4 linked regions of the Lepisosteus oculatus genome follow. The main gene of each other region encodes a partner of the protein of the gene in region 2 in a complex. Links are inferred from orthologs where the notes say so. Each region holds a gene or a part of one and is shown on either strand. Other genes may lie near its edges.

Region 1 (7,217 bases), on a different chromosome or scaffold from region 2:
CCAATCAGTGAAATATTTGTGCTGATTAACTTTTTTTTTCTTGCTCTAGATCTACATAACCACCAAGCGGTTACCATATTTCCCCATTGTGAACTTTCTGTTTCTCATTGCTCAGCTTCCTAAGCTGCAGTACAACAAAAACCAAGGTACGAAATTCAGCTTTATAGCTCAGTGCAAGGCTGACATTTTTTTGGGCCGTTGTTGTTTGTGTGTTGCGTAATTTTAGACTTTGTATAAGCCTGACTGACAGATTTAAGTGGGATAGTTTTATGGTAATATTTCTATTCTCTGTGCAGTGCAGTTCTTTGACTTAAGGATCGTCTTATTTGTAATCTGCACTTTCAGGCCTCTGTGGTTTAGCCTTTTTTCAGTTCTGCTGCTGTTTCTGGTCTGTCTGTGCGAGTCTGTTCCAGTTTCTTTCTGCTCTTTCAGGAATGACCTGCAGAAAGTCGACTGATCCAGTTGACTGGCCTCCTCTTGTGCTGGGTCTGCTTACCCTCCTGAAGCAGTTCCATTCCAGATACACTGAGCAGTTTCTGGCTCTGATTGGCCAGTTCGTTCGCTCCATAATGGAGCAGTGCACGAGGTATCACACTACTGGGATTATTCTTTGGAAATGCACAAAATAGAACCCCTGAAATGATCACTTCTGACACGTCATCTCAGCAATTCTAAAAATACAGCAGACTATTAAGAGAGAGATTTGGTCTTTTTTTTTAAATTGTACCCATAGCTTGTCCATTAACAAATGGTCTCTGTGGCATAATCTAACCATATCTATTAATAAGGCTGTAGGTTCAGCCACAGTGGAGAATGAATCGCATTCCCCAGAAAGCTGTGCGGAATGAGTTGCTGCTTTCAGTCACTTGACCACGTCAGAAAATATGATTGGTTTGCTGATCGTGTAAAAATCAAGAAGCGGGAAAACCTCCAGGAATGGTCTTTCATGTACTTTCTGGGGACAGAGGGCAGATCCTCCCTATAGCAAATGGAACCATCTGACTGTGAGGTTATCTTTAACTACCACCTGACCAATCATCTCCTCAGAATTTGTCAGGTGACTGAGGACAATAGCTCATTCCCAACTGCAGCCTGGGTAATGTGCTTCTGATCGTCCCTGAAGCTACTGCCCTCTTACAGTATTGTTTCCTGTATTTGCCTGTATCCCACCCAGAATAGATCTCAACTGAGTCTTCACTACCAGTGATGTTCCCCTTTTCAAAGCCATCTTTCCTCACTAGAACAAAAACAATCAGGTTTGAAGATCCTGAGGACTTGGGATGAGAAGCCCAGCATTGAGGCATTTTGAAAAAGCCGTCATTCCGAGTGCTGCTGATTTAAAAACAAAAGTGGTCTCTTTCACTCGGGTCACATTTTTTCACATTATGATTTACGCCTATGGTGCCCACTTCTTTAAACGCAAAAACTGTCTTTGTTTGGAGCAGGGTTGAAAAAAGCCTACAGAAATCCAGCAGGAGCAATATAGAGTTGCTAAGGTTTTTTTTTTTAGTTTAATGTTCTTGGGTGCAATTCTAGGAGTCAGCGTTTTCTTCTAATGTATTCCCAGCCAGAAGATTCCGGAGATGCCGTCGGATGTGGTTGGGGCGCTCATGTTCCTGGAGGATTATGTGCACTATACCAAACTCCCCCGGAAGGTAAGCGGACAAGACCAGCTCTTGACCCCGTCAGGCTTAGTTCCTGTGGCTTTTACACGCAGGGGGGGAATTTAAAATTGAGAACCTCCTGGGCTGTTTCAATAGTTCCCTAATGTTAAGCAGTCGGCTTAATTTAATGTCAAGCTTTTGATCTGGCAGTGTTTGTTGCTGTCTGTTTACCTGTGAAATCTCAACATGGTGCCGTGTTTTTTGTTTCGCAGGTGGCAGAAGCCCACGTCCCCAGCTTCATCTTCGATGAGTTTCGAACAGTTCTGTGATGGGGCTGGTCACAAGACTGCAGCGGGGGGCCTGGGCCTTCGTATGACACGGCTCACCCCCTTCATCTCAATAGCCTGCGGGGGCTTCAAGCTCTAATAGGCCTTTTTCGCTTCTAGGTTTCTAACCAACGCAGTGACTGAATGTTTAGTGTCGTTAACTACGTGTCTTTAATATACAGCTATTAACTGGATAAAATGTGTGCAGTTTTGCTAAAAAACAAGTTGTCTAACAGTTTATACAAAATGCCATGTGATCTCTTATTAATAAATTAGGTGCTTCACTGTTTTGGCCTTGGTTATTTAAGCGGTACCAAACCTGTACCGTACTCGCTTGATCTACTCAACTCGGGGAAATGGAATTTGTTTTATCAGAAGAAGTAGACTTCTCAGAACGTTCCTGCCGCATGTGTGTCATAAGATCTTAATTGAGCATAAGGTGGTGGAACATTCAGTGGGTCTTTTATTATGTTTCTTTGGCAGCAAAAATGAATGGTTTTTCATAGGCCATTCCATCATTAATATTTGAATGGTCTCCCCAACCATACAAGACTTTTATATGACGCATGGCATTTCAGTTACATTAAGATTAAGTTTAGTTTTGGACCATAACATTTTCAACAAATTACTTAATTTTCATTGGTTATGTACTGTCTGGTGTAAAAAAAAATATTTTCCACCCAGTGGCAACACAGAGGTATTTCGATGTGGGGGAGTCTGAAAATTGTGATTGATATCAGTGCCCTGTGGCAAATCACACAGAGTATTGTAGTGGTCACTGGTGATAGTGATTAAATAACTACAGTACTACAGTAAAAAACTAAAGTACAGTACACTTCTTCTTTATGTCTGTTTCTTTAGTGACCCACAGCACTACTTATTTTAATACTTTGGAAAGTTTACGACAAAACCTCATCCTTCAGGCACTGAATTTGTTCTTAAATCGTGTTGGCTATACACGTATACTGTTGATATTCCATACCAAAAAAGAGTTCTCATTTACAAACATTACAAAAAATCTTACATACTGCATCCAACTCTAGTTTTATCTGTGTAAATTAGTGGTATTCCGTGTCTGTAGAAAACATAGCACATTTCTGCTTTGATTCAATTAAAACTTCTGGTAAGTATCAACCAAACCATCAGCCAGCTGCAATATCACCCTGCAACTCACAACTGGAAGCCCCACTGAAGCTCAGCAGGTGTGAGCTGAATGGGAGACCTGGAAAAGCCAACGTTGCTGCTGGAAGAGCTGTTAGTGGGGCCAGTAGGGGGCGCTCACCCTGCAGTCTGCGTGGGTCCGAATGCCTCAGTATAGCGACGGGGACGCTATACTGCAAAAAAAGGTGCTGTCCTTCGGGTGAGATGTAACACTGAGGTTCTCCCTCCCAGTGGTCATTAATCCAAGGGTGTTGCTCTGGTGTCTGTCCTCCTAATAGGGCGGAGCGGTGGCCACTGAGCAAGGCCCTTAACCCTAACTGCTCCAGGGGCGCCGTACAATGGCAGACCCTGCGCTCTGACCCCTAGCTTCTCTCTCCCTGTCTGTGTGTCTGTGTCTCCATGGAGAAAAGGTGGGGTCTGCGAAAAGACGAATTCCTAATGCAAGAAATTGTATAGGGCTAATAAAGAAACATTACATTACATTAATAATCTCCATCTAAGAATTGGCTTCATCACTCTTTCTCGTTCCCACCGATAGCTTTTGTGTGGTGAGTGTACTGTGCGCACTATGGAGGAAGTTAATAATAGCAATGATAATAATAATTATTATTGTCGTTATTATTATTAATAACCAAACATGGACACCAAGGACATGTTGAAATTTAATGGTATAGAAATTTAGAACTGAAAATAACCGTGTATCCGACTGAATCCCGTAACTCTCCGTAATCCTAAAGGAAACAGCTAATAAGGGTCTTTTTTATGTTCAGCATCTGTAATAAACCACTATAATTGACATGATAATTTTATCTTTGTGGTATTTTTTATATTCCTCTCATTTTACAGTATAAAAATTAATTTTAAACAGTCTATAGATTATAATCCCTAAAAAGACATATGTATAGGCACATCTAACACACTTTGGGTTAATTTAGGGTTTGTTTACACGAAGCCTGTTAGTATAAGCCTGTGATATAGCCTGTTGGTCCCTTATTTTAACAGGCGGTGGCACTAAAACCTAACTCTCCCTACCGAAGGTCGCAGCTCTTACGTGTTTCCTTTGAGCTAAGGAGCGTTGCCCCATGGGATACGTAGTTTGTATCGTCGTGGCTTCCAGTCCAGAAGGCAAGAAAATAACTACATGTCCCAGAAGTCAACACCAGGAAGCGTGATTTGCGGGTTGGTTTCAAAGTTTCAGGTTTGTGAAGGTGTCTTTTTTTCTTAAACATTGTTTCTGCTGTAGTTCTTACAGTGTTTAAGCATGAAGGTGATTATACAATAACATTTATTTCGTTTGTGGTAGCAAGTATTGCCGGTCAACTCAGGTTTGTATTATAGCCGCAAAATATAAACAATCCATCTGACGAGGTAATTGCTCGTCTCATTGGTGTATCTAAGCTTAGTGAATAAATGATCTTCACACGCCAGTTATAATTAGGAAAGTATCGTAATTAAAATCTTGCCAAATATAAATTTAAGCCCAAACCACTGAAAACTGTTTGTAGTGGCTTACTTCCATTTCATTCGATTTTAGAGTCAGGGTTTACGCGGCGATTTCTTAAGCTTTCTGTGAAAAATATATAATCACATTAATATAATATAGTCACATTCAAGGGATTTGGGGTTAGTAATCAGATTTCCATAAAGCACTGTAGTATCGTTGTTAGTACCTTGTCTAATTTAGTGCAATAACTTTCGGATTATGTAGAATTAGCTGTCATTTCATTGTCACGTTGTTGATGCACATTGAGCTTTCTCAAGGATGTACTATGGCACTGTAATCTTAAAATGAAAACCAAGATTAAAGGTTGTGCTTTATAATGCATAAAAAATGAGTCATATATACAACAGATTCATAAAGTGAAGTGTTTGTAGCAGGCGCGCTGATATTTTACTGAAGACTCGTGACCAGTGTTAATTCAGTGTTCTGATCAACTCGGGGTCAGTTTAGCCGTGAGAGTCATCATCAGAAGCCGTGCAAGGTGCTCATCTGTGAAGCTGCAATTCTTGCACTAAGTTGCTAAATTACTGTTGTTTGAAATAGTTTGTTTAGGCTGTACTGTCCGGTCTTGGGAATTTACAAAGATTTGCATACACGTTTTGTTTTAAAAATATCGATCCATACCTGTTCAAAATGCTCCCGCTGAAGACTGTGGGTTGGTACATTTCAGTAAATGTTAGCAACACCCAGAGACAAGGCTGAAATGTGTTGATTGCACAAGTATTCAGACCCAGGAGCTCAATATTGAGTGGACACCCCTTGGGCAGCCATTCGTGCACATTTCTAAAAGCGGATTTGCTCAAGTTCTGTCCTGTTGCTTGGGGATCACTTGTAGACAGTTCTCAAGTCTTTTCTTGAAAATAAACTATTATGGCAGACAGACAGAGAACACTCCACTGATCTCCTTATGGTAACTCTGTGCACCTCAATTAAAGTTTGCAAAAACAGAAGATTTGAATACTTATGCAATTGTGACTTTTCAGTTTTTGCTTCCAATTACTATTTGTGTACTCTTTTTGCTTTGAATGTGTGTAGTAAAATGTAAATATGCCAAATATTAATTATTACTTCAGAGTGTCAGGACTACAAGATTTAAAAGCACCGAAAACTGTGCAAGGAACTAAGTACTTTTGCAAGGCACTTGTACTGTATAGATTAACAATTTGTGGAAGTGCTCCAGAGCATTTTTTCTTCTCCCAGAATAATGAGGGTAAGGTTTTATGCTTATATTCATACCTTTTTTTCTTCGTGCGTCACGCAATTTGTTCGAAGCAGTTGTGCAAGAGGCTTTAAAAGGACAGGTGCTTTTATTTTTCTGCTTTGGTTCCTGCTGCAGTTTCAGAGAGCCGTGCAGCAATGTCGCTGAACGTGGTGAAATCAAACCTGACCTCCCTGAAGACCTGCCAGCCTGACATCAGTATAGGCATGGACATTGTGACTAATGTGGCCCTGGATTTACAAGAGAACGGAGGTGAATACTTTTATATGATCTGGCAGGCCGCGGCAGACAAACAGAATCAGTTTAGAATTGGTTGACTGCATGTATTCGTGTAAATATGCATCCAAATGTATGTATGTGCTTATGCATACATGCACACTGCCGTTAAAATGTTGGGATAAACACCAGTTCATTTTGCAGAAAGGTTAGTAACATAGTTGACGCTGTCAAGACAAATATGTCTTTCATATATATATATTCAACAGAGGATTCCAAAATATATTGAATGACTAAATACTTAATTTTCATTGAAAATATAGGTGGACATCATTGTACACATATCCTCTCTATGCAGCACATTATGTGGCTGGGAACCCCTGCCACATGACGTGTTGGACCTCTGAGAGCGGCGTGGGAGTAAAAACATTAAGGGCCATTTGGCCCATTTGGTAGTCAGTAGCTAATTAATCCAAGGATCTCATACAGCCATTTCTTGAAAGAAGCCAGGGTGTCACCTTAAACCACAACCACATGGCTGGTTAACTTGTTCCACACCCCAGCCACCCTTTAGGCTGAGAAGGGCCTCTGTATGTCACAGCTCCGCAGTTCATTCATGTTCCTTCGCTGGTCCTTTCATGATGCCTGCAGTACTGACGTCACGATGAGGGTGACGGTGTGTGTCGGGGCAGACCTGTCGTACAGGTTTCCAGCAGGTCTCGGGCCTGAGGACTGCTCAAAATCTGTGAGAGAGACAGAGGAAACAAGTCCCGGGATCCTCAAACCTCTGAGCAACTCAGTTTGTTAATATTAATGAATACATTCGTATATATTCATGAATATATGCAGATGGTAGTCGATAGCTAAGATGGTACTGTATTATCTCTGTCATGATTAGGTTTATAACCTCCATTTCCAAATTTGCCTGTCTTTTTGTTGTTTTTTTTCACCCTTTCTGAATGCTTGATATGAGGTTTGTCTTTGTGGACGTGTAGTTGCAGTGCCGACCCTCCAGTTCCCAAAACGGGGGGGAAAAAAAGGCTGGCGCTCACAGCTCCTCTAAATTACAGGCAGCGAGGAAGATTTCAAGAAGCTGGAGCAAATGATGCTGAACTGTGCAAGAATGGAGAGAGAGATCAACTATTTTGTAGCAGCAGTGGAAGAAGTGACCTCACAGGTAGGACAAGAGG
Region 2 (7,264 bases):
TGGGTCCAGTGGTACGAGTCACAACTGGAGACTTCCTTGGTTGCAAGAACCTTGCGCCCGCCGTGGGACACGAACCCACTCCCCTGGGCTGTGTGTCATGTGACACACGCAGCGTATCCAGTGCACCGGAGTAAATTCCTTGTATATGAACTTTATTTGGCCAATAAAAGCTATCTTGATTCTGATTTTGATTTCAGTCTACAACTATTATCATTTACCTTTCAGTGCCACTATCCATTCCGTGACAGAAACAAACAAAAAGGGTTTAAAAATATAAAAGATTTACAACTGCTTAGATGAACTTCCGAAATGTGCAGGAGTAAGCGTTAAACTTTTTTTATTTTCTGGAGTGGGCTCTCGTAACAAGCGATTTATTTATGTTGGATAAAAATATTTTTCGGTAAAGGGTTGGAACCATTGAGTGCAAACATTTGCTCCCTAGGGCATGATAACCCCTCATCCCCCTGTAATACCTGCTCACACAATACACACCAATCAATACAGAAACATCTCTGTTTCTATGGACTCGTGGTCTCCTCTCATTTGTACTATTCTTTAAAGTCATTATCATTACAATTGTCATAATCAACAACAACAATATGGTTACGTTTAACGCTATGCAGTACATACCTCCTCACTCATTTTAAACGTAATAGCTGTAGATTGCTTCTTAATGCGCATGTAAACGAAGTATTGACAAATTTATCTGCGTGGATGAAACAAGGTGTGTTTATATATTAGTATACATATCGACCTTAAAGTCAGAACTTTGCGCCTTTTTTGCATTGTCTTTAAATACTTTATTCTGTACTTTACGCTTTAAATAAACAATAGATATTTCTCTTGGCAACCAGGTAGCATTTTTCTTCTTGCCAGTTCAAGAGCTTCTGTAGCTTATTACAATGATCTTGTTAACAGCTCTGTGGTACGAATACTTTCAAGCCCGAAGTCTAATATTGCTCCACAATAACGTTGTAAAACCAATTTTAAAAAGACCATACCTCCAGGTATACATTGGCGTCTGCTTTATTGGGTGAATCTTGGAAACGAGCCCGGTACTCCTCAGATGATCCTCTTTGGACAGATGTCATGAAGCAAAATAAGACAAAATATAGCAATGTGATAATCCAGATGCCTCTCATTTTTAGTAACTAATATTCTTAAATTCGCGGTTGATTTCCTGTGCTCTATGGCTTCAAATGAGCTGCGAGAAAACTAGTGCGCAGTTTATTTACAGATACAGATCGCAGCGTTTAAAAGCGCTCTCCTGGGAGGTGTGACTCTAGGATGTGTGATGTGGGTGCAAACGAAGCTTCATGAAACGTTGCTGTTTTTGGATGTGAGTGAAATGTTCAAGAGACAAAGGATTAAATATATACATTAATCCTTGAAGGCGCCGTCTTTCTTTGCCAGTTATACCTGAACGTAAACGCGTCATTTCAAAGGTTTAACGGGCTGGGACGTGCCTCTAAAGAACTTTCTTTCAAAGTCTGAAATATTGAACATTTTGACTTAGATATAGACGACCGTTTTAAAAAAAAAGCTAAAGGAAACACGTACATTATGCAAATGTACTTGCATAACAAGTACAGTAGGTCTGTATTATTTATATGGTAACGTTTAACGCCCTTTAGAGTGATCAGGTTTCTGTGTGGAAATCTGAAAAATACAGTTGAAAATGAGCCTTTTTACCATATTTAATATGATACGAGACATCTTTGCATTGCACATGTTAATTCCAATATGTGGGTTGTACATTTTAAAATGTGTACAAGAATCTTCAGAAACAAATACACAAATTAGCTTACAAGTCATACGTTACTACATATCTGTTAATGGCGATTTGCTTTAAAATGGTTGAACTACAAGGTACGGGAAACAGAATGTGAAGCCAAGCTCATACGTACACGAGAAAACAACGCAACACAACAGAGGAAAAGCTTTGCAAAATAAACTTCTCAGAATTTCCTGCAGAAGAAGGACGTGATTGACTGGAGCAGATTCCCATGGAAGAGGTTTCTGGATATTAACCCGTTCAACACTTTTCTGGTGGGCAGATAACATTTTAAACAGGGCTATACATTTTACCTCGCCTTCGTGCTGTATTTTAATGGACTGTTAGTCAAGAAGGGGGGAAAACTTTTATATAAACTCTGACCTTTACTATTACATCTGTGAAACGTCCGATCCATCTTGTCTAGGTCCAGACAAAATTATGTTTTTGAAATTCCAGAGAACTATCAATTCTGTGGGGTCAGGGTATTTTTTATTTAATGGGGTGTGCTGGTCCTGCAGGATGGGGAAAATGCACTGCTTGTGGTGGGTGCCTGCCAGTGGGTTTCCCTGGTCAAAGCTTGGTTCCCTGGGCATTATACTGTAGCGTTTTTGAGTTCACGTAAAACAAAGTACAAATGGAAACGTGATAGAAACACCAACCAACCACTCTTAACCACCTTTCAACACCAAACCAAGCACAGCATTTACACACACACACACAAGGGGACCGACGTAACACGTTCAGTTCACAGGTTTAGGGTGGTAACTCGTTAACAGAAGACTATACACTTACAAAGCTACACAGGACACTTTAACTAATATAACACTATTTACATAAGCAGGGTCAGCTGCTGGTCATCGTGCTGACCCTCAGACTCCTCAAGGCTACAACACCCAGCCTGCTTCCCGGTACCCTGAGTGCCTAGGTGTGCTTCCTCCTCACCAAAGGACGAGGGTGCTACAATACTCTTTACCAGCCTTTAAGAGTCTACAGGACTCTTAATAGTAATTATTATTTACACTTATATAGCACTTTTCTGGACACTCCACTCAAAGTGCTTTACAGGTAATGGGGACTCCTCTCCACCACCACCAATGTGCAGCACCCATAACACTCACCACACATCAGCTATCAGTGGGGAGGAGAGCAGAGTAATGAATCCAGTTCATAGATGGGGATTGTTAGGAGGACCATGACTGGTAAGGGCCAATGGGAACTTTGGCCAGGACGCCGGGGTTACACCCCTACTCCTTTCAAGAAACACCCTGGGATTTTTAATGACCACAGAGAGTCAGGTCCTCGGTTTTACGCCTCATCTGAAGGATGGCACCTGTTTACAGTATAGTGTCCCCATCACTATACTGGGGCATTAGGACCCACATGGACCACAGGGTGAGCGCCCCCTGCTGGCCCCACTAACACCTCTTCCAGCAGCAACCTTAGTTTTTCCCAGGAGGTCTCCTATCCAGGTACTGACCAGGCTCACACCTGCTTAGCTTCAGTGAGCTGCCAGTTGTGAGTTGCAGGGTGATATGGCTGCTGGCACATCTTCCTATGACCCATTCCAGGAATGAAGCAGGCGTGAGCGATTCATGGGCATAGACATTCTGGGACTTCTCCTCAGAAGAGAACATCACGTCAGGTGTGTCTTTCCTCTAAGGTGTCCTAAGAAAGAGCTTCCATGATCACTGAACTGCTTCCAGAGGTCATGATCAGGCTGTTAGATGATGTCCAAATATAATTCCTATTGGAACACAGTGCTGAAATTCACTGTTCTAAAATCAGCTTCAGAGCTCTTTGGACTGGAATGGTGGACCTTTGTAGACCTCCTCTTCAGCCAACCCCTGGAGGATAATGTATCGTGCAGGACAGTAATGTTTCAGTTACCTCCAGTGTCTTTACTGTGCCCACACATTTGCCTTACACCACCTGTCCAGAGTGTGGCCATATCACAGATGAAGCATTAGGGTACCCACACTGTGGTGGACATGTGGCAATCGCAACGTAATACTGTACATTGTGGAGTTCCGAGCCTCAGAGGAAGATGGAACTTTTCCCCTGAGCTTGTGATCACGTTGTTTTTATTGCAGCAGTCTGATTCTAGTAAAGGGAATCCTTTGCACGGATCAGAAACTACCGATAGTATGGTTGGTGGAAGGGCTGAAATGGGGAGATCGTTATTGTTTTATTTGCTTTTGAAAAATGTAACACAATGTGGCTGAAAATTAAATATTACTTTTTCGATTATTAGATTTCATTATTGCCAACCATGATTACATGTAACAGTAGGTAGCTACAGTACAGTAATAATCACTGTTATTTTCACTATCGTACGATGTAGACTCTTGCAGTTGTATCTTTCAAGTCCGCTGCGTGTTGCGTCAAACATTCTCTAGTGCAAAGCGAACGCAGCTACTTTTCACACGTGAGAATCCAACTAATCCTCTGATGTCACTTTAACGCGATCGTGTCGTAATTAAACCGCGCCGCTTGGGTAGGAAGGCGCAAGATAGTTATGCTTAAATATTAAAGAAGTGGCTAAACTTTACATTTCTAAAATTGTAGATAAAGGTAAGTTATTTTTTTTTGTTTTTGCTCCATGTAGCGTTAGCAAAATAATATACAGGTTTCTTAATGTATGAGTATAGTTTACATGATTTGTAGTGTGAATCATAGTAACATGTTGCGACTGCTACTGTTAAATTGGAAGGTTTTTTTTAATATTCCTTGCTCCTGAACGTAATATAAAAAGCTCGTATTAGTGTATGTTGAAACGTCATAGCTAATGGTCTAGATATAAATAGAAGCTCATATTTGACTCCGTCATTTTTGTGTACAATGCTTTTTGTTTTCTTATTTTCAGATTTCATGATGTCACAATTCAGGAAAAGGGTTTCAGCAAGACAGAGTTCACAGGGCACAGCCTCTAGGGTAAGTGGATTTCTTGCAGGAAAAAAATCTTCTTGAGTATGGCTGAATTAGAATAGTCTTTGATTAGAAGCTCAACTCGTTAGCCCAACTCATTGTAAAAGTTTGTAATGTAGGTACTAGCCTTTAAAGTAGAGATGTCAGTAAATTTACTTTAAGTAAAGTTACTTAAAATGTTTTGTGTAGCCTATGAATATAAATATTTCCCTTTTACTGTTTTGTTTAAACAATAATACTTTCTTTGGTGTAGTATTGGTGTTTTTTGTCAATTGGGAGAATATTAAGGTAAGTCAGGTCAGTTTAAATGCACCCTACAATCTAAGGATGGTAAAGAAGGTTAACAGCATTGTGGAATGCACCCCCTCTTCTGTGAATTTACACTGCCTTCAAGACGCAATGGTAATAAACTTAGAAATTTGTTTAACACCTCTGCCATTTGATTTTTGGGGAAAAAAGTAAAATAATTATAATATACTCCTCTGAATACTTGATTTGCAGTGGTAGTTATGTTGTATCATTTTGTTGTCCTCAAAACTAATATTATAAAATAAAAAAATATAAAATTTAACTTGAATTTCATTGAATTGTTTTCCTTCCTTATCCAGAAACGAAGTCTATCTTCAACTGAAATTTGAGTCTCTGCTAATCTTGCTAGATATGTATTTTGTAGCATGACAAAAGTAGCCTTTTAGATTTCAGGATGTATAGACAAGAGCAAGGGATGTTCATCACAAGGAATCAGTGCGATGTGATTTGTAGATGTGGATTGGCAACTACAGCACTTTATACTGGCTGTTCACTTGTAGTTTACCCTGAGTTGTTGTGATTGTGAATCAAAGATAAAAAATGAGCTAGTTTTATTCTCTTCTAGACTAAGTTGTATTATGTATAAGTTGTTTTAATAGAAACACCAGTGGAGGCTTTAAGTAATAATTCAAGTAAACTGATAATGCTAGTAACATTTAGTTATATAAATATAGTCATGTCTAACACTGGTCTCTACTCTGTTTTTACCCCAGTCTCAGCACACCGAGAGTAAAGATGAAGATGATGACGTGTCCTTCACCCAGCCCACATCCTCACAGGTCCAGAGGGGTCTGGAGCACCTGACTCCCACTCAAGTTGACCAAAAGGTAGAGTGGTCAGGGCCTTTGGATGTCATGTACAGGAACATTTTGATTTTCGTTTGTAGAAAGGAAGTAGTGCTTCTCTGTGATTAATATTTTGTTTAACAATAGTAGTTGTACCAAAATTTCATTTATTTGTAATTGTTCATTAGAATGAAGGGAGTATTTAAGCACTATTCCTAAATACCAATGAACCATTCCTTTTTTCTGTAGTAATTTCTGCCATGATGAAGTGGGTGGTCTTGAGATTTGTAAAACCCTCTTTGTTAAAGCTGAGTTGATAGTGTTCTGTCTATGTGTGGTGCAGTTAGACATACAGTATGCTATATAATGGATTGAGCTCAAGAGACATAACCATTCTTTTATGTGTTTTGCTTATGGTGCTACGATTGCACTTTTGTATTTCATATTTCTTTCTTTGCTCACAAAGTCTTAGAGTCTAATATACCACAATAGTCTTATAAAAACATATTTATAAAATTACAACGCTAAAAACCAGTTGGATATTTTTGGAATCCTTGCCATCATATGTGGTGTTTTTAAGCCCTCAGTAAAATCAGACTGTGCTTAATCTGAGAATTTTCCAGAGGTTTTATTAACTTGCTGCTTTGAGTTTATTGCTCCATTGTGATTTTCCACTTACATTGCACACTGTTACAGAATATTTGGTTTCTAGTTGTAAAGACCCCTGCTGACCACAGTATGTTTTTTTTGTTTTTTCTGTCCTAGGTGGCTGAGGTTGTGCAGTATATCTTAATAAAGGACCAGAAGAAGGTGCCTATCAAACGAGCTGGTAAGCATGTAAAATCTCAGAGATTAACTATTCAACAGGACTATCCCTTATAAGCCTTCTACAAACAACCAACCACACCTACCTGTCTCCACTCATGGAAAAAATCTCTCTGCCTGCTTTTCTTCAATAAACCTATACTGTCTTTACTTCTTAATCCAAGTAGTGAATCTGTAATGATCACTGTACTGAATTCAGGAGTGATTTTTAAATTGTTTTGTATGTTTTTAATTAAGTGACTTCCTCCAGTTGAGATTTAATGACTTATTTGGTACTTGGCAATTACACTTGTTTGTCTTTGATAAAAGTAACCTTTAAGGTTGATGTTTCATCAAGGACTTACATTGAGACAAGACGTCGTGCTAAAATCTGCAGATATGCAGCTTTTTGTGTGTTCTATATCTGTCATTTTCTTTCTTACAGATATTGTGAGGCAGGTGATTAAGGAATACAAGAATATCTACCCTGAAATAATCAAGCGAGTCAACAGGACATTTGAGCAGGTGACTGTTGGCATTTTAATAACTTATTGGAGGGGGTGGGGGTTCAAACAGAAAAATATAAAGAGCCAAAAATGGTTCTGCTTGCATTCTTAATGAAAAATGCTTATGAATTGTTTTTTTAAGGTAACCAGATTATTTT
Region 3 (7,665 bases), on a different chromosome or scaffold from region 2:
ATATATTTATTCTACCCACCTGCCTCCCCACATCACGCAAAGTTCAAAGTGGTCTGAACTGTTTAATATTGGACCAACTAATATTAAAATTCCTAAAGAGCTTCCTGTGACCCCAAACTTATCCTTCACACACATCTCTTTTTTACGATGCCAAAACTTTAACTTGTTTTCAGTAAATGTTTTACTAACATGGCCTACAGGGATCTGTCTTTTGTCAGTCAGCCTACATTTTTCATTTATCCTCTGCCCGTGCTCTAAAAGGAAGGGAGCTGCAGATATCACTTCATCAGCAATATACAGAACTGCAAGCACCGTGGCACACACCTGTCTGACTGCAGGTTCTGTAATCCCCTCTGAAGAAAGCCAGACCCTTTGGCACACCTGCTCAATACAGACCATGCACAGCCGAAGAACAACAGTGCAAGGCAGTTAGCCAGTCATTAGCTGAGATGAGAGATCTGTCAGGCTCCTTTTCAAAGAACCCTGCAGAGCAGCTGGTCTTCTATTCATGGACTCTTTCCATATTGTAAACCACTTAGCTAACCTATACTGCGTCCTCTGCTTTTCAGCAAACAGCCCCGAAAAGAGAGAGCAACTAATTAACTGGTAACTTAAATTCCTAAAGCGTGTGGTGTGATATTTCCCCTGTTTTCTTTACTTTCAACTCATGCATTTTCCACACCGCCAATAAACAATATCTCATCATAAATTAATGATGATAAATCCTAAGATGGTATAGCAAAAACGTCAAAGTCAACTACTTGATTGAAGGCACATCTCACAACTGTCATCAATGAAACAAAGAAATAAAATGCAGAAATAAAATACTCCGTTTACTCTTTCTTTTTGCCATTACTCCAGGTGATTCTGATGCAAGACACTAAGTTAAAGAAAACCAAAAGTAGATATTTTTGCTTTAAATAAACTGCTAACAGGACAGAGTCTAATTATATCACTGTGCCAAGTAGGCACTATTGCTGTGCCCTAGCCATAGGCTCCCAGGCCACTACACATTCATACACCACCGCGCAGTTCTGAAACAGTATACTGGGTGATAAAGCACCCGGGGAGAAAACACATGCCTCTCTAGCCGTCAGCACTGCAGCAGAAATATTCAGTCCTTATCCAGAACTGGTCACACAGTTCACTGCTACATGAGCAGTACAGTTAAGGGAAAAAGGGAAACAATTCATCTAGTGGAGCAAATCTGAGTGTTCTGTTCCGCAGCAAGACAAACCCAAAAGGAAGAAAACAGACGTCATGCAGTGTAGACTCTGCATGTACAGTAGATTCACAAAACACAATTAGTACCAATACATGACATGACAGCACGTATGTTTTTTTTTACTGCAAGAGGAAATCAAAGGGATAAATCAAGGGATCATTTAAAAGCTACTCCAGAATTTAAAGTGGAAATCTTTCAGAGATTAAAACAAGGTAACAACGCATTTATACAGTTCATAGGGCATAGATCTAATCACTATCTTGATAAAGGACTGGAACCCCAATCGTAATACTGACAACAACAGAGTGAACTTCTTCATGAGAGCGGGATTCCACGGCTCAAGCTGAGATTCAAAATAACTTTTCAAGAACAACTTTTACTTTCTCTCTCTGGTGTGGTAATGAACCTTGTCTGTTGTACTGCGGATAACAGCAACCCGGCTACAATGACCAGCCATTACGGCGATGTTTATATAAACCTAAACACATAAAGACAACATATCTTAAAATACTAGAACCATCAACACATCCGTTTGCTCTAGCACAGCATCTCAACTAACCGGCACTAAACAACTCCTTAGGGGCGAGAAAATGGTTATGAGCTGCAACTTGCACGTCCTGTACTCTATAATGAAAACACTTAACCAAAAAATATCCTAAAATGCACAGTAAGCATAATGGCAATGCACTAAAGTCCTGCATGTAATCTTTTACTTAAATCACAACGGAGCGGGTCGGGCGCAGCTATCATCAGGACCATAATAAATTGCATAAATAAATTACTCCTGTGTGCACATCTCTTTCTGCTCTGGTAGAGAAGCTACAGAACTAAACAGAAGAGAAAGTTAAGAGGGACGGCAAAGCTGCCTTACCATGGGAGAAGTTCCCATGCTCGTTCTTGCAGTAGCCGCACCGGTAGCCATCGTCCCCTCCGAAATACTCGACTATGGTGTAAGAACTGCCCGCTGCCATTTTAGCCGATTGTTAGCCGATTCTGACAACCCGGCGAACTTCCTTATGCGTAATGCTCGCTTACCTACAAATACCACAGACACCAAACCGAATAATTATCCTATTGGACTCATTAATATTTCCTGTAGCGCCATCTTCCGTTCCCTCCGCGTAAAGACTGCTGCGACCTGGGAAAATCTTAAAACGACAAGACTGGTTTTAAACTAGAGAAGCTCCTACAGCCCATGTTTCCGTTTTGTTTTCAGTAGTGAACTGAACCAAGTATCAGCTTCAACGGCATGGCTGGACAGCTCGCTCCATATTCCCATGACCCTCTGTGTTACAGAAATGCCCTCGGTGTTCTCAGTTTCAAGTGGACTTCCACAATTAAATTCCTTGGATTTTAATTGGAATTTAAAGTAGAAAAAGGAATTCCACTTTAAATTCCTTGTCATCCATATCACCGAGGACCTCACATGGTCTCTCAACACCACCTGTCTGATCAAGAAAGCGCAACAGCGCCTGTACTTCCTAAGACGGTTGAAGAAGGCTAAGATATGTCCCCAGATCCTCACTAACTTTTACAGATGCACAACAGAAAGCCCACTGTGTGTGGTATGGCAACTGCAGTGCTGCTGACCGCAAAGCCCTACAGCGGGTGGTGAAAACTGCCCAGTTCATCACTGGGGTTACCCCCCCATCTATCCAGGACATTTATGACAGACGGTGCTTGAGGAAAGCTCTAAGCATCATTAAAGACCCCACACACCCCAGCTACAGACCCTCTACCATCTGGAAAACGGTACCGGAGCATTCGGGCCCGGACTACCAGACTCAGAGACAGTTTTTACCCCCGCACTATCAAACTATTAAACTCCCAGCCTCTCTCACTCTCACCTCACCTCTCACCTATGATCTGAACCTCACAGTGCCTTTTCTTTCTTACCAAAATCCCAAACACACATTTAAAATATACCTCTATCATACATGTCAAAAGGTCACTCCCCATAATTTCTATCCTTTCATTCTGTTAATGAATGTTTTTGCACATAACCTGTTACCTTTTTGTTGTTTTGCACATTGCCTGTTGTCTCTGTCTTTCTTTTGTTATACAATTGAATTGTTGTTGTAGTTTTTTTTTCTTTGTACTACTTATGTCCGAGAGCTAGCTAAATAGCATTTCGTTATACCATATACCTGTATATGAGTATAATGACAATAAACTTGAACTTGTAACTTGAACTTGAACATAGCATCCTCTTGTGTCCTGTGTTCCGTGTTCTGCCATTGATCTTAAGGAGTCAATTGGATTAGATTTCCTTGGAGAAATTGTGAATGCCTGAATCAGGTCACCTCACAGCTTTCACTGTTCAAGAACAAAAAGGTGAAATAATTTTAGTCCGTGTATGACACTCCTTTGAAAGCAGGAATACATCTGATTGCTCTTTTCTGAACCGATTCCAGAGCAGCAATATTTGACTTGTACTGTGGTGTTGGTACAGTTTTCTAACTGAGATCTTAATAGTGCATTGGACGGTTTAGCACAAAATTCCTTGATTTAACTATTTAAAGGCTGCACAGCTACCTATAAAACCTAAAACATCTGTGTGACTTTGGGAATTCAACTTTTTCAGTGCATTTGCATAGACAATTTCAGTGTCACTTAAAAAAATATAATTTCTTTCAGTCTGATCTAAAATTGCGTGACAATGCAAGAAGGAGCCAGTAATCCAGACACACAGCCAGATGCTCCTGAATTTATCCACAAATATTGAAAGTCTCTGCATTGACAGAAACTACATACATTAAACCAACCCTTTCGTAGCAATTTTCAGCAAAGACCAAAATGCAGCAATTACGACTATCAACAAGGTCTTTTTTATTATTCAAACATCAGAATATGAAGTTCTACAGGAACCGTACACAGGAGTGTGACCCAGCACATCTAATCCATCTTATCTTTTTAAATATCTGACAGGACCAGCTCTTGTGTTTGAATTAATAGTAAATTTCAGTAGCATAATTACAGTACTGATTGTACCAAAGGCTAGTACATGAATGAGCTGAACGATCTAGTTTAGACCCCCATCTAAAGCTGTCCAGCCCTGGAGCGCTGCCTTTCTGCATCTTCGGGTCTTCATTCTGATATAACTCGCAGTTACTCATATAAATCCTCCCAAGGCTGGAGAGTTGAAAACAAAAAGAGAACCACTAAGTTCTCACTAAGATTACTGCTGGCTCAACTGGAAAATAAAGTGCACGGATACTGGGGTAGGCCAAGTTCAGCATTTGATTATAATAACTCTAATAATATTCACATTTCCCATGAGCTTTATGGGACGTTTTTGAATATTCAGGGAGACCGAATTTCCCCTGCATTTTATTCCTGAGATGGTGAGATGCGGCAGCGGATTAAGACTTGTAATTCCGCCTGTCTGTCGCCAGGTGGAGACAACGCTCCAGCGGAAGCTATAGCCTCTTCGGACTTCGGAGAGGGACCGGCGTTTGATCAGCTGATTCTTTGACTTGCAGAATATACAGGTAGTGGAAGTTATTGTCTCGCCATGTTTATTTTTGCATGACTGGAATTTAGCATAATTAGACAATATAAAAAACGTTCAGTCTTTTTATGGTACAGTACACCTACTGGTATTTGTATCGCACAATTCGGTGAATATACCACAGGTTTACTGTAACACTCAGGTCCCTTTTTTAATAGAACACACACCTTTATCAAAAGCAGCCCCATAAGAAATGAGTGATCGGGTTCAAAGAAATAACTAAACATAAATTAGATGTATTGTAACGGGACTGTTAATTAGCCACGAGTTATCAAACAACTGTGTTTGGTGTATTGTTTTCCACTGTACTCGGCTGCAACCACACGTACTGCGCATCATAGTTCGTCTGTACTTACTAAAAGAGACCTTGCCCTCACTGGAGCCGCAGTAGCCACAGCTGTAACCATCCCTCACTCCTCTGCTCTCTATGATTGAGCACATCCTCGCAGCCGCCCGCCGCCCAGACTGACCGTCCCGCTGCAGCCCAGACCCGCCGGCGAGCTTCCCCGACGCGCCCGTAGCCCATTGCTGAGCCACGCTCTTGCGACACAGTCTTGTAGTTTCCCAAGTAAACTTGTGTCAAGAAGCAGTCACATGGGGGCAATCAACTACAGTATCTGCAAGAAGCCTCCCTTGTTGAACTTTAATATAATTTAATGCGTTACGAAAACTGAACATCCAACAGGGAATTGTAATATTGGTTTAAATTATGTATTTTCTATAGATAAATTACTAGTAGTTTTCCAGAGTCCTTTGTGGACAGAAGTATAAATTACGATGAAGTGTATTTATAACTGATAACACGGGGCAATTCTAAAAGGTATGGCCGTGGGAGACGAACAAGTGACCAAGACAAAAACGTCCACTTGAGATCTGGGAAAATTACCTACTAAATACCCAACGGGTGGGATGGATGGATGCCCTCTTGCTCTTGTAATATTTCTTAAGGTTTTAATTTAGGAACCTCACTGAACGTGTTCATTTTTCCTGCTTTGAAGAGATTAAAGACGAGTTTCACTTACTTTGTTAACGTGAAAAGGAGTTCGAGTTATTTGCATGCTAGAAAATGAATGTAACGGCAATTGAAATATATAGATAAAACAGTATTTGAATGTGGAATGATTTTACGGTTAATAACGCATTCTGTTTTGCATCTTTTTTAGAAAACGGCGTTTTTATTTACATTTTGTGAAACGATTTTGGGGAAGTCATCTAAAATATGTATTACTGTTTCTGAGATAAAGACCAACTGTTGTCGTAAAATAGCAGTGTTATTACGTGGAATCACAACAATAAACATTTGAAAAGATAAAAACAAAACGATACATGCTAGTCTGTGAAACCATGTCATGCACAAGCAGGAACCCTTTACGGAGAAGAACAGGGGTTGTTCCGGACGATAACACGATCGCGTTTTACTTCCGGTTCAGCACATAGACGTCTACTTGAAAACATTGGCGGCTGGTGCACGAGAATAAACAAACCGAAAGTTTAAAAAAGTAAGTTTAATCTCATTGAGAATCCGGATAGGTGAAGATGACTGTAAAATCATAGAGATGTACTGTGTTGTGTGAAAGAAGCAGTGTGTCACGCCCTGTGGTTGCGCATTGTGTTGGTTACCTGTAGTCATGTATGACAGATCTTCAACACGTAACATTATATTGTAATGTAGTATTTATGTAAAAAAAGTTGATATTCTCACTATGGCGTTTTTTTACCACATTTTGAAAGGTGATACAAGGTTGTAATTTACCTAAGAGAGCAAGCGACAATCTAGATCTGTTTTGATTTCATATTTCGATTGTGATCAGATCGTTAAAATGTTTTGACTAATCACTAAAAAATTGGGATTTGTGTAAAATATATTAAATTGGTTAATGATGTCGTTCCTGTTCCAACAACATTTATCCAAGTGTAAATAATAGGTATTTACTAGATATATGCAGGCGCTGAATGTCCTCTAGCCTTATAACACGTCCCTTCATGTATTGAAGCAAAAACCCCACGCCGGTTTGTGTTGTGCACGTTTTGGAGATGAATCGCAGGATAAATAAAATAGTATTTCAAATTGAGTTAAAACTAAACCGTGAAGAGTCACGGTTTTAATCATAAGTAAGGATAGAAGGCAGACTTCCAAAGTTGTTTGATTGTTTTATATATATAGTTGGGCTAGTTTTAGGCTTTCGTGCACAACAAACTTTCGAGGGGAAAAACTGATTATTTTTAAGTAACTCCGTATAGTTTAACTCTAAATGTCTATGTAAGTATATTCATAATAAGATATGACTTACAATGAGAGAAATATCCTGTGTAAGAGGATAGCTTGTAATAGAAAGAGCAAGAGGGCTTAAAATCTGAATGGAAGTCTTTCATTTCATCCATAGTAGTAGGACCTGGATGATTTATGTTGCACTCATAGAGAATTTGAAATGCATGCAATATAATCTGTCTACACACCACCATGGCAGGACAATAATTGCGAGGGATAGTGTGAACACAGCCCATTGAGCCTGTCCAAAACAGATCTCACAGAATCAAACGAACAGGAGGAGACAGTGGATAAGGCAAAGTGGTTTTGTTTTTCCATAGTCCAGACTGCTCCGTGCTTTATTCTCTGTATTCTCCGTCTTGCACAAACTAAAAGATGACATCCTTTTTTTTTGCGCGACCAGGCTCATCTCTGTAGCCTTGAGGCGGGTTGTGGCTATTGAGGTGCCCCACAGGAGCCGGCAGAGATGTCTGAAGCAAGAAGAGCGAGCCACAGGTCACAGGAGGCCCCTGCGCCACCGCAAAATGGCGTTGGGGTTCAGAGGCGGGCTGGGGAGGACAGCAATGAGGAGGAGGGCTCTCGGCCAGGGGGCTCCAACATTCACGAGGAGGATGACCCGGCCACTCGCCGCCTCATCAGGCACCAGTACAGGGAGCTCAT
Region 4 (6,932 bases), on a different chromosome or scaffold from region 2:
GGAATCGGGTGAATGAGCACTTCTTATATATTTGTTCTTTGCGAGATTTTAACTGAGCATCCAATAAGAATGTTAAAAAGTAATCAATTTTAACAGCAGAACACACCCATAGGTCGAACAAGGCCATTGCAGATGTAAATGTAATATTCATCCGTTTTTTCAACATAGTAATCGCTTTGTCACCCCCGGAAAAAGAGTCAATATCCACCTTGTATGATGCCCCCTCAAACAGTTCGTAGTGTCTCTGGAAGCTTATACAGTAGAAGGCTGATTTAAATAAAAGCTAAACAATCACTGATTGTTGTACAATATTGTTATAAGCATCAAATAAATAGCTTATTTTAACTCTCTACTAATTCGCTTTTTAAACTAACCTGTTAATCAAATTACATATGTACATGTGCAGTATATACTGTGCCTGATATATCATGCACTTCATAAACTTAACTGGAACAATGAGTTGCATTAGCACAGTTCTGCACAGCTTTAACAGAGCCTTACAGTACTGCGAGTCGTCCAGGTTTCAGTTTTGCTTTATTGAAATGTAGGCAGTGGGGAAACCAGCATTCACAACCTATCGTTGTATTTCTGGTGTTTACTACATTCTGTTTTCGTTGTGTTTTATTTTTCTATTTTCAAGTGTTGATATTTTATGCTGTTTATTTGTACAGCGCTTTAGGTTCTTGTAAACAGGAAAGTCGCACTATACGTTCGGTCATACGCAGTGAAATACTCTCCCCTAAAGAAAGTTGCAACATACAGCTAATAGAGCTGCAAGGGATGCCACTTTTATTTTCCTGACACACTAAACCGGTGTGTGCAGTCCTGCGAGGACTCACAAGCCGCGACCCAGTGTCTCGAACTGCGGTTTCGCCACCAATGAACCGGAACTGGGGACCAATCGGACTGCGCATGTTCGTGTTTGGGTACAGCCGGTAATTTCGTCCGGGTGAGAAGGAGCTGTGCTCTTGCTAGTAGCGTGAAGCTAGTTACACTAAGCGACACGAATGATCCGGAAGTGTATGTAAATAGCCGAATTTCAATCAAAATAAAAGTTATTCAGCTACCACAGGAGCGTATGAGGAGTATACTGTAGCAACATTAAGCGAAGTGACAAGCAGCTGAAACTTCTGCTTTGTTATTTCTTCGTGGTTAAATGTAATTCCTTGAACATTCCGCCAAAATTTGAGAGGGTCCTTTTTAATTTTAAATCGCCTCCACTAATCTCCAATTCGACAAATCTAAGATTATTGGAAGTTTTTATTAATTTTACAGCACATTTCTTCCATTTATACTACTGTAAAAATTGTCATTGCTATATTTTTTCATATAAATGTTTTTTGTCTGTTCAATGCAAAAGGTTTTAAGATGGAAGCTTTTAAAGGAGCTGTATCTGAAATTTCTAATTAAATCAAATCCTTTATTATATTTTAATTCAATCAGTTTTTTAAACTATAACCAGGGACAAAAACATATTTTTTGCACCATCAAAAGTAGTGTAACATACAGTTTTAAGACAGTCAGCCAATAGTAAATCACCCTTCTTCATTCAGTTTTAAGTCTTTATTAATATTGTTGGTCTGGGTGGATCACCTCTGGAAAAAGTTGTGATTCTCAAAAGGTGGATGGAATCTATTGCATAGACCCTCAGCTAATAGAAAATCACCTTGTTTTTGTCAGATAAATGTCTGTGTCAAAACTGCTGGGGTTTATAGAGCACCTCCCATTCCCAGACTTGGACAATGCAGTGATGGTGCAGGGAGAGGTCTAACTCTCCTCCCGACCAAACAACAATTTGTGCCTCTTCAAAAATACCTCAGATCTATTCTACAGACCCTTGGCTAAAAGAAAATAACTGTGTTTTTTTTTCAGATAAGTGTCTTTGCTAATGTTGCTGGGGTTGATAAGACCACCTGCTGTTCCCAGACTGGGATCGTGCAGTGATGGACAGGGAGTGGTCTCACTCCCCTCCCGAACAAAACAAAATTTGTGCCTCTTCAAAAATACCTCAGATCTACTCTAAAGACTAACAGCTAATAGTACATAACCATGGATTTGTCAGAAAGTGTCTTTGCTTATCAACCAGGTGGATGCTGCACATTGGTGGTGGTGGAGCCATTACAGTAAAGCGCTTTGAGTGGAGTGTCCAGAAAAAGCGCTATATAAGTGTAAGCAATTCTTATTATTATAATTATTTGCTAAAGTTGCTGGGGTTTATAGGACCGCTTGCTGTTTCCAGACTGGGACTGTGCAGTGTTGGACAGGGAAAAGTGTAAACAACAGCCGTGATCCCAACCAAAGTAATGCTGACACTAAAGATCATAGTATTGTGACCAAAACCATAGATGTGACACGGAGTAACCATTCTTAGACATAGAGTGGATGACTGGCAGTGTTTTGAAAAGGCAAAAACCATAATGCATCTGTAAATTACCCATCAGCCAAAAAAAAACCAAAGGTGGGGTGCGATGCTTGCTAAATGAGGGTTTTAACTTTTAATTTCTGTGCAGAATTTATATGTCCAAAGGACAATAGGCCATACAGCTAAAGCAGCGTTTGAATGCTGTCTGAGTAGTTCTACACTCAAAATAATAAAAGCTGATCTGATTTAAGAGAAAGTCTAGTGTTTTGATGCAGAACACCTGCAATGCATCTTTACTTCCCAGTCTATCGGAACTCATGGGGGGAATCAATTATCAACTGGTACTTGGGCAACATGTGAGCCATCGTTTCCACATTACCGGATCAAATCAAAAAGGCTCCATGCCATGTCTTTGGCAGAGCCACCTTCCCAGGAAAGACACATCACCATTGAAGGTCTATTCAATATTTTGGCTGTTTCGATACACTTTAATAAGAAAGTGTGAAATTGACACTTTATTTCAAACCAGAAAAGAAGATCCACTGGTGAAGTGTTAACAATGCCCACATTGCGATAACATGCCCTTCGAAACAAATCTAGTATCGGCCACTAAAAGGCCCCTATAAACCCCAGCAACATTGGCAAAGGACGCTCATCTGGCAAAACCATGGTGATGTACTATTAACTGAGGATCTGTAGAACAGATCTGAGTCACTTTTGGAGAGGCACAAATGTTGCACATCGCTACACAGTCCCAGTCTGGGAATGGGAGGTGCTCTATAAACCCCAGCAGTTTTGACAGAAATGCTAATCTGAGAAAACCATGGTGATTTTCTATTAGCCGAGTGTCGGTAGAATAGATTTGAGGTGCTTTTGAAGAGGCACAAATTTTGGTTTGGTTGGGAGGGGAGTGAGACCACTCCCTGTCCACCACTGCACCATCCCAGTCTGGGAACAGCAGGTGGTCTTCTAAACCCCAGCAACTTTAGCAAAGACACTTATAATGACTTATGCATGATCCATGGTTATGCACTATTAGCTGAGGGTCTATAGAGTAGATTTGAGGTATTTTTGGAGAGACACAAATGTTTGTTTGGTCAGGAAGGGAGTGAGACCGCTCCCTGCCCATCACTGCATGGGCCCAGTCTAGGAATGGGAGGTGGTCTATAAACCCCAGCAGTTTTGATAGAGACACTTATCTGAGAAAACAATGGTGATTTTCTATTAGCTGTGGGTCTGTAGAATAGATTTTAACTACTTTTGGAGAGGCACATTTTTTTTTGTCAGGAATGATACTTTTTCCTGTCTAGCAGTGCACAGCTCTATGTCAATTTGCAAGGAGGAAGTGATATAAAAACACCAATAAGATTGCAAAAAATTAATGAAGAATGGCAATTTTATATTATTTGTGGGTCTATTTATCACATTTCACATAGTTTTGAGGATGAACAAACTGTTGTTGTGCTATAAATGTGACTTTAACTGGTACAGGATTATTTTATATGAGCCAGGTTTTAGGAGACTTTTATTTTGAAAGGTGCTGCCAAGCCAGAGTCGTTTATTGTAGCTAGCTTCACGCTATTGCTCTTTTGAGTTTACTGGTCTCTTCCAGTGTATCTCCAGAGCGTCTTAACCTGCAGGAACAGGTCACATTGATACGGTTCGGCTCTTTGGAGTATGTAATTTTACTGACTTGTACAAACTACTATTGAGGAGAGTGATTTGCGTACTGTCTGTTGTAGAGGATAGACTGAAACTACTTATTTTGTCGTTTTAAAGTCTGTAGGCAAACGGTAAGACATGTTATGTAAAGGTTACGTGACTAAACCACTTATTTTTAAGGAAGCGAAAATCATTTTCATCTGGTTTCTCATGTGATGTATGTGCGCATTGTCCAATCACGACTCTCTCTGCTTGACATTTGCCAGTGGCAATAGTAGTAGTTCGGAGGAATGTGGATTGCGGTGCGGTCTGAAAAAGTCATATTTGAACACATAACTGAACTATAGTAAAGCTATAATCGTACGTGTAACTTCGACAGTACTTGTATTTTACCGTGGAATATTTTATTGAAAAGATGTGTGAAAAGCACAAGGAAACTATATAAATTGCCAATATAAGGAAATGCAATGCGTAATTAAAATACCAAGGCCCCAGTAACACGCTATAACTGGTATTGAAATATTTGTGCTTTCCTTTTAATCCAGACTTTATTAGGTTATTATTTTATCAAATACATTTTATATTACTATTTGCAAGGACTGTAATAATATAAAAAAGTGTTTGTAAATGGTTCTAACTGAATATTATTGTTTTAGCTGAATATTATGCCTTGTAACACTGCAGTATTTCATTGTGTAAAGTAAATTAGGTTATCACTTACTGTAGCTGCCTAGCTTTTATTTTATGGCTGATTTCCTGTTCAGCAGGGGATAGTTTATTCCTAACCAAGAGATCGTAGTCATGAAGTTCATATTCTTAAAATGACAAAAATGTTGAGTTATTCTTCCTGTCTAAAAATTACACTCTATGATTCACGTCAACCTTATTTACTGAATAATAATAATATTCCAAAAAAGCTTTCGCACCAACACCGTTTTAGTTCTTATTGTTTGTTTTTTATTGACATGAGAGTTTCTTCACAGGTTTTGTGCTAGCCTTAGTGTTTTTATTAATTTATTTGTATGCATTGTTTCTGCACATATGTTCCCTGTTTTTAATATACAGTGTATATAATTGAATTTAAGCATAAGGTCAGACTAGATAAGGGCATCTTAACAATATTTTGGGTAGTGTGTAATACGTTTTCAGTTCATTAGCAGGCTTTTTTCTGCAGTTGATGGCGTGCTCTTTCTTGTTTTTTGCTAGGGATTTGGGGAAAAAGAACCTAGGCTATGGCCAAGCACATGACGGACAGCCACCGGAGGTTCCTCCAGTCTCTGATGTGCTGTGGGATAATAGAGGGCTCCAAAGCCAGGGCCCTGCACAGGCACTGCTGCGAGGTGCACAGAGGTAAGACAAGAAGATGCCTATTCCTCTTTGCTTCAGCTGTTACCAAGAAATACATTCACACCTTCACTTTCAGTGTGGTGTTTTGAAATATTTCTTGTCCAATATCAAATCTTATTCACTGCATTATGTCACTAGAAAGATGCTTGTATTGACATGCTGTTGAAAAATAACAATACTGTTGTAGGTAGCTGCGTCAGCATGTTTAGGTTGCAAAGGAACAAGTAAAGGTTTATTCCATGCTGGAAAGAGAAAAAAAGCCTCTGTGGAGCCTTCTTTGGGTGTGGGTCTTCTTCTTCACGCACCACAGCTGAAATGTTGTATTTGTTGTTCCTTTACATACTATTGTTTTTATGTTTAATATCATTTGCTACGAAAGCCTAATGAAGTGGTGTTCTTTCATTTTTTAAAGCCACATATGTATGCTTAAATAACCTATAAACCATCAGTCCAAGATCTATTCTGATGTTTCTTGGTTGTTCTGTGTTATGAGTTGATTCTCTAAACTCATTTGAGATCAGTAAGGTTTCCTACTTGAACATGGCTTGCAAAAAAAATACATTTGCTTTTGAATCTCATGCTTTATTGTATCATCATGTGTAAAAGCATGCTACTTGATGATTTCTTTACAATTGTTACTCTTTTTGTTAAAAATCCATTCCTTCATTATTCACACAAGCAATGTATGTTGTTCACAGAATAAACAGACAGCTTAATTAAAAGTAGCAGTGAAAGTTGATCTATTAGATAAATTGACTAATCACAAGTGTGGATAATATAAGAATGTGCATGCTAAAATATTTAGTAAAACACTATTTTCTGTTTTAACATTAAAATATTAATAAAATATGTCTCATTCTCTTATTCCCTGTCAATTTCTTATTGAACAGCGATAAACACCAGAAGCTGGGATAAAAATGTGCAGAATTTCATTAGCAGTACAGTAATCTGTATATTATATGGCATTATACTAAACACAATAAGTACAAACACCAGCACATTTTCAGGTTGTCCATACTTCATTGATCTGGTCAACAGCTTTTATTAAATGCTTAAGGCTGTGTTGCTCAACCTCTGGACCCACTGACCACCACCAGTCTTTGGAACAGTGCTGACTGAGACTTCACAAACTGAGCCATAGAGGCATAGTTATAATGAGTGAATTTAAGACTGTTTCTTTTATAGTTTTGCTTTTATCTTAAGAAGTTGACAAATAAGGAAGAAGAGCTGATCTCTGGCACAAAAAAGGTTGATAAACACTAGTTTAAGGTACCAGAGATGCAGAATAACTCTGACTGTCCAAAATTGACAGTGATGTAGACATTAACTCTTACTGGCTAATACATTAGGAGCACCTACTGAATAATACAGTATATCAGGTTTCCATGGCTGAAAGAATAGTTCAAGTGTGACTGACTTGTCATTTATTTCACAAAGTTTTGAAATATTTGCTACCCAGTCGAATTCCATTGTTCTAGCAGGATCACCAAGTAAGGTCTGTGGCACTGAACTGCATTTTATACTGTTTTTACTGACTTTCCACAGGATTAAGATATAAGGA

What was found.
Region 1: ndnl2 (region 2) and nsmce2 share a complex: the UniProt entries of both Homo sapiens proteins name them as parts of the SMC5-SMC6 complex. The link is inferred for Lepisosteus oculatus from reciprocal best matches to the Homo sapiens genes NSMCE3 and NSMCE2.
Region 3: ndnl2 (region 2) and nsmce4a share a complex: the UniProt entries of both Homo sapiens proteins name them as parts of the SMC5-SMC6 complex. The link is inferred for Lepisosteus oculatus from reciprocal best matches to the Homo sapiens genes NSMCE3 and NSMCE4A.
Region 4: the proteins of ndnl2 (region 2) and nsmce1 are in contact, whole or in part, in a crystal structure (PDB 7DG2), measured with the Xenopus laevis proteins. The link is inferred for Lepisosteus oculatus from reciprocal best matches to the Homo sapiens genes NSMCE3 and NSMCE1. Residues at the interface, in XP_018121157.1 of Xenopus laevis: Gly57, Glu58, Val60, Gln61, Tyr62, Leu64, Ile65, Lys66, Gln68, Lys69, Val82, Thr100, Gln102, Gln103, Val104, Phe105, Gly106, Phe107, Asn123, Leu125, Gln126, Arg127, Val128, Gly130, Asp131, Gly132, Met133, Arg134, Asp136, Glu137; in NP_001083134.1 of Xenopus laevis: Ile5, Glu7, Gln10, Arg11, Leu13, Gln14, Ala15, Met17, Ser18, His19, Leu30, His33, Leu37, His38, Leu54, His57, Leu58, Pro60, Leu61, Phe62, Met63, Val84, Asn86, Ile88, Thr89, Met91, Ala92, Ser93, Asp94, Gln149.

What each region holds. Positions count from the first base shown.
Region 1 is NC_090705.1:7,654,174-7,661,390, forward strand, and holds the start of nsmce2 (E3 SUMO-protein ligase NSE2), read left to right. Parts: upstream 1-4,217; 5' UTR 4,218-4,289; intron 4,290-4,308; exon of another isoform or gene 4,309-4,416; intron 4,417-5,928; 5' UTR 5,929-5,948; coding exon 5,949-6,063; intron 6,064-6,232; exon of another isoform or gene 6,233-6,770; intron 6,771-7,097; coding exon 7,098-7,204; intron 7,205-7,217. Other genes in the region: washc5 (WASH complex subunit 5), read left to right, coding at 50-146, 433-586, 1,568-1,655, 1,877-1,933. UniProt on the Homo sapiens protein: E3 SUMO-protein ligase component of the SMC5-SMC6 complex, a complex involved in DNA double-strand break repair by homologous recombination. Is not be required for the stability of the complex.
Region 2 is NC_090697.1:67,138,614-67,145,877, forward strand, and holds the start of ndnl2 (necdin-like 2), read left to right. Parts: upstream 1-4,243; 5' UTR 4,244-4,348; intron 4,349-4,640; 5' UTR 4,641-4,645; coding exon 4,646-4,708; intron 4,709-5,724; coding exon 5,725-5,838; intron 5,839-6,561; coding exon 6,562-6,625; intron 6,626-7,045; coding exon 7,046-7,125; intron 7,126-7,264. Other genes in the region: itih6 (inter-alpha-trypsin inhibitor heavy chain H6), read right to left, coding at 1,002-1,142. UniProt on the Homo sapiens protein: Component of the SMC5-SMC6 complex, a complex involved in repair of DNA double-strand breaks by homologous recombination. The complex may promote sister chromatid homologous recombination by recruiting the SMC1-SMC3 cohesin complex to double-strand breaks.
Region 3 is NC_090699.1:29,679,757-29,687,421, forward strand, and holds the start of nsmce4a (non-structural maintenance of chromosomes element 4 homolog A), read left to right. Parts: upstream 1-4,646; 5' UTR 4,647-4,716; intron 4,717-5,092; coding exon of another isoform or gene 5,093-5,177; exon of another isoform or gene 5,178-5,303; intron 5,304-6,129; exon of another isoform or gene 6,130-6,235; intron 6,236-7,408; 5' UTR 7,409-7,471; coding exon 7,472-7,665. Other genes in the region: arginyl-tRNA--protein transferase 1, read right to left, coding at 2,097-2,196. UniProt on the Homo sapiens protein: Component of the SMC5-SMC6 complex, a complex involved in DNA double-strand breaks by homologous recombination. The complex may promote sister chromatid homologous recombination by recruiting the SMC1-SMC3 cohesin complex to double-strand breaks.
Region 4 is NC_090714.1:8,814,267-8,821,198, reverse strand, and holds the start of nsmce1 (non-structural maintenance of chromosomes element 1 homolog), read left to right. Parts: upstream 1-3,909; 5' UTR 3,910-4,037; intron 4,038-4,051; exon of another isoform or gene 4,052-4,155; intron 4,156-5,230; 5' UTR 5,231-5,256; coding exon 5,257-5,374; intron 5,375-6,932. UniProt on the Homo sapiens protein: RING-type zinc finger-containing E3 ubiquitin ligase that assembles with melanoma antigen protein (MAGE) to catalyze the direct transfer of ubiquitin from E2 ubiquitin-conjugating enzyme to a specific substrate.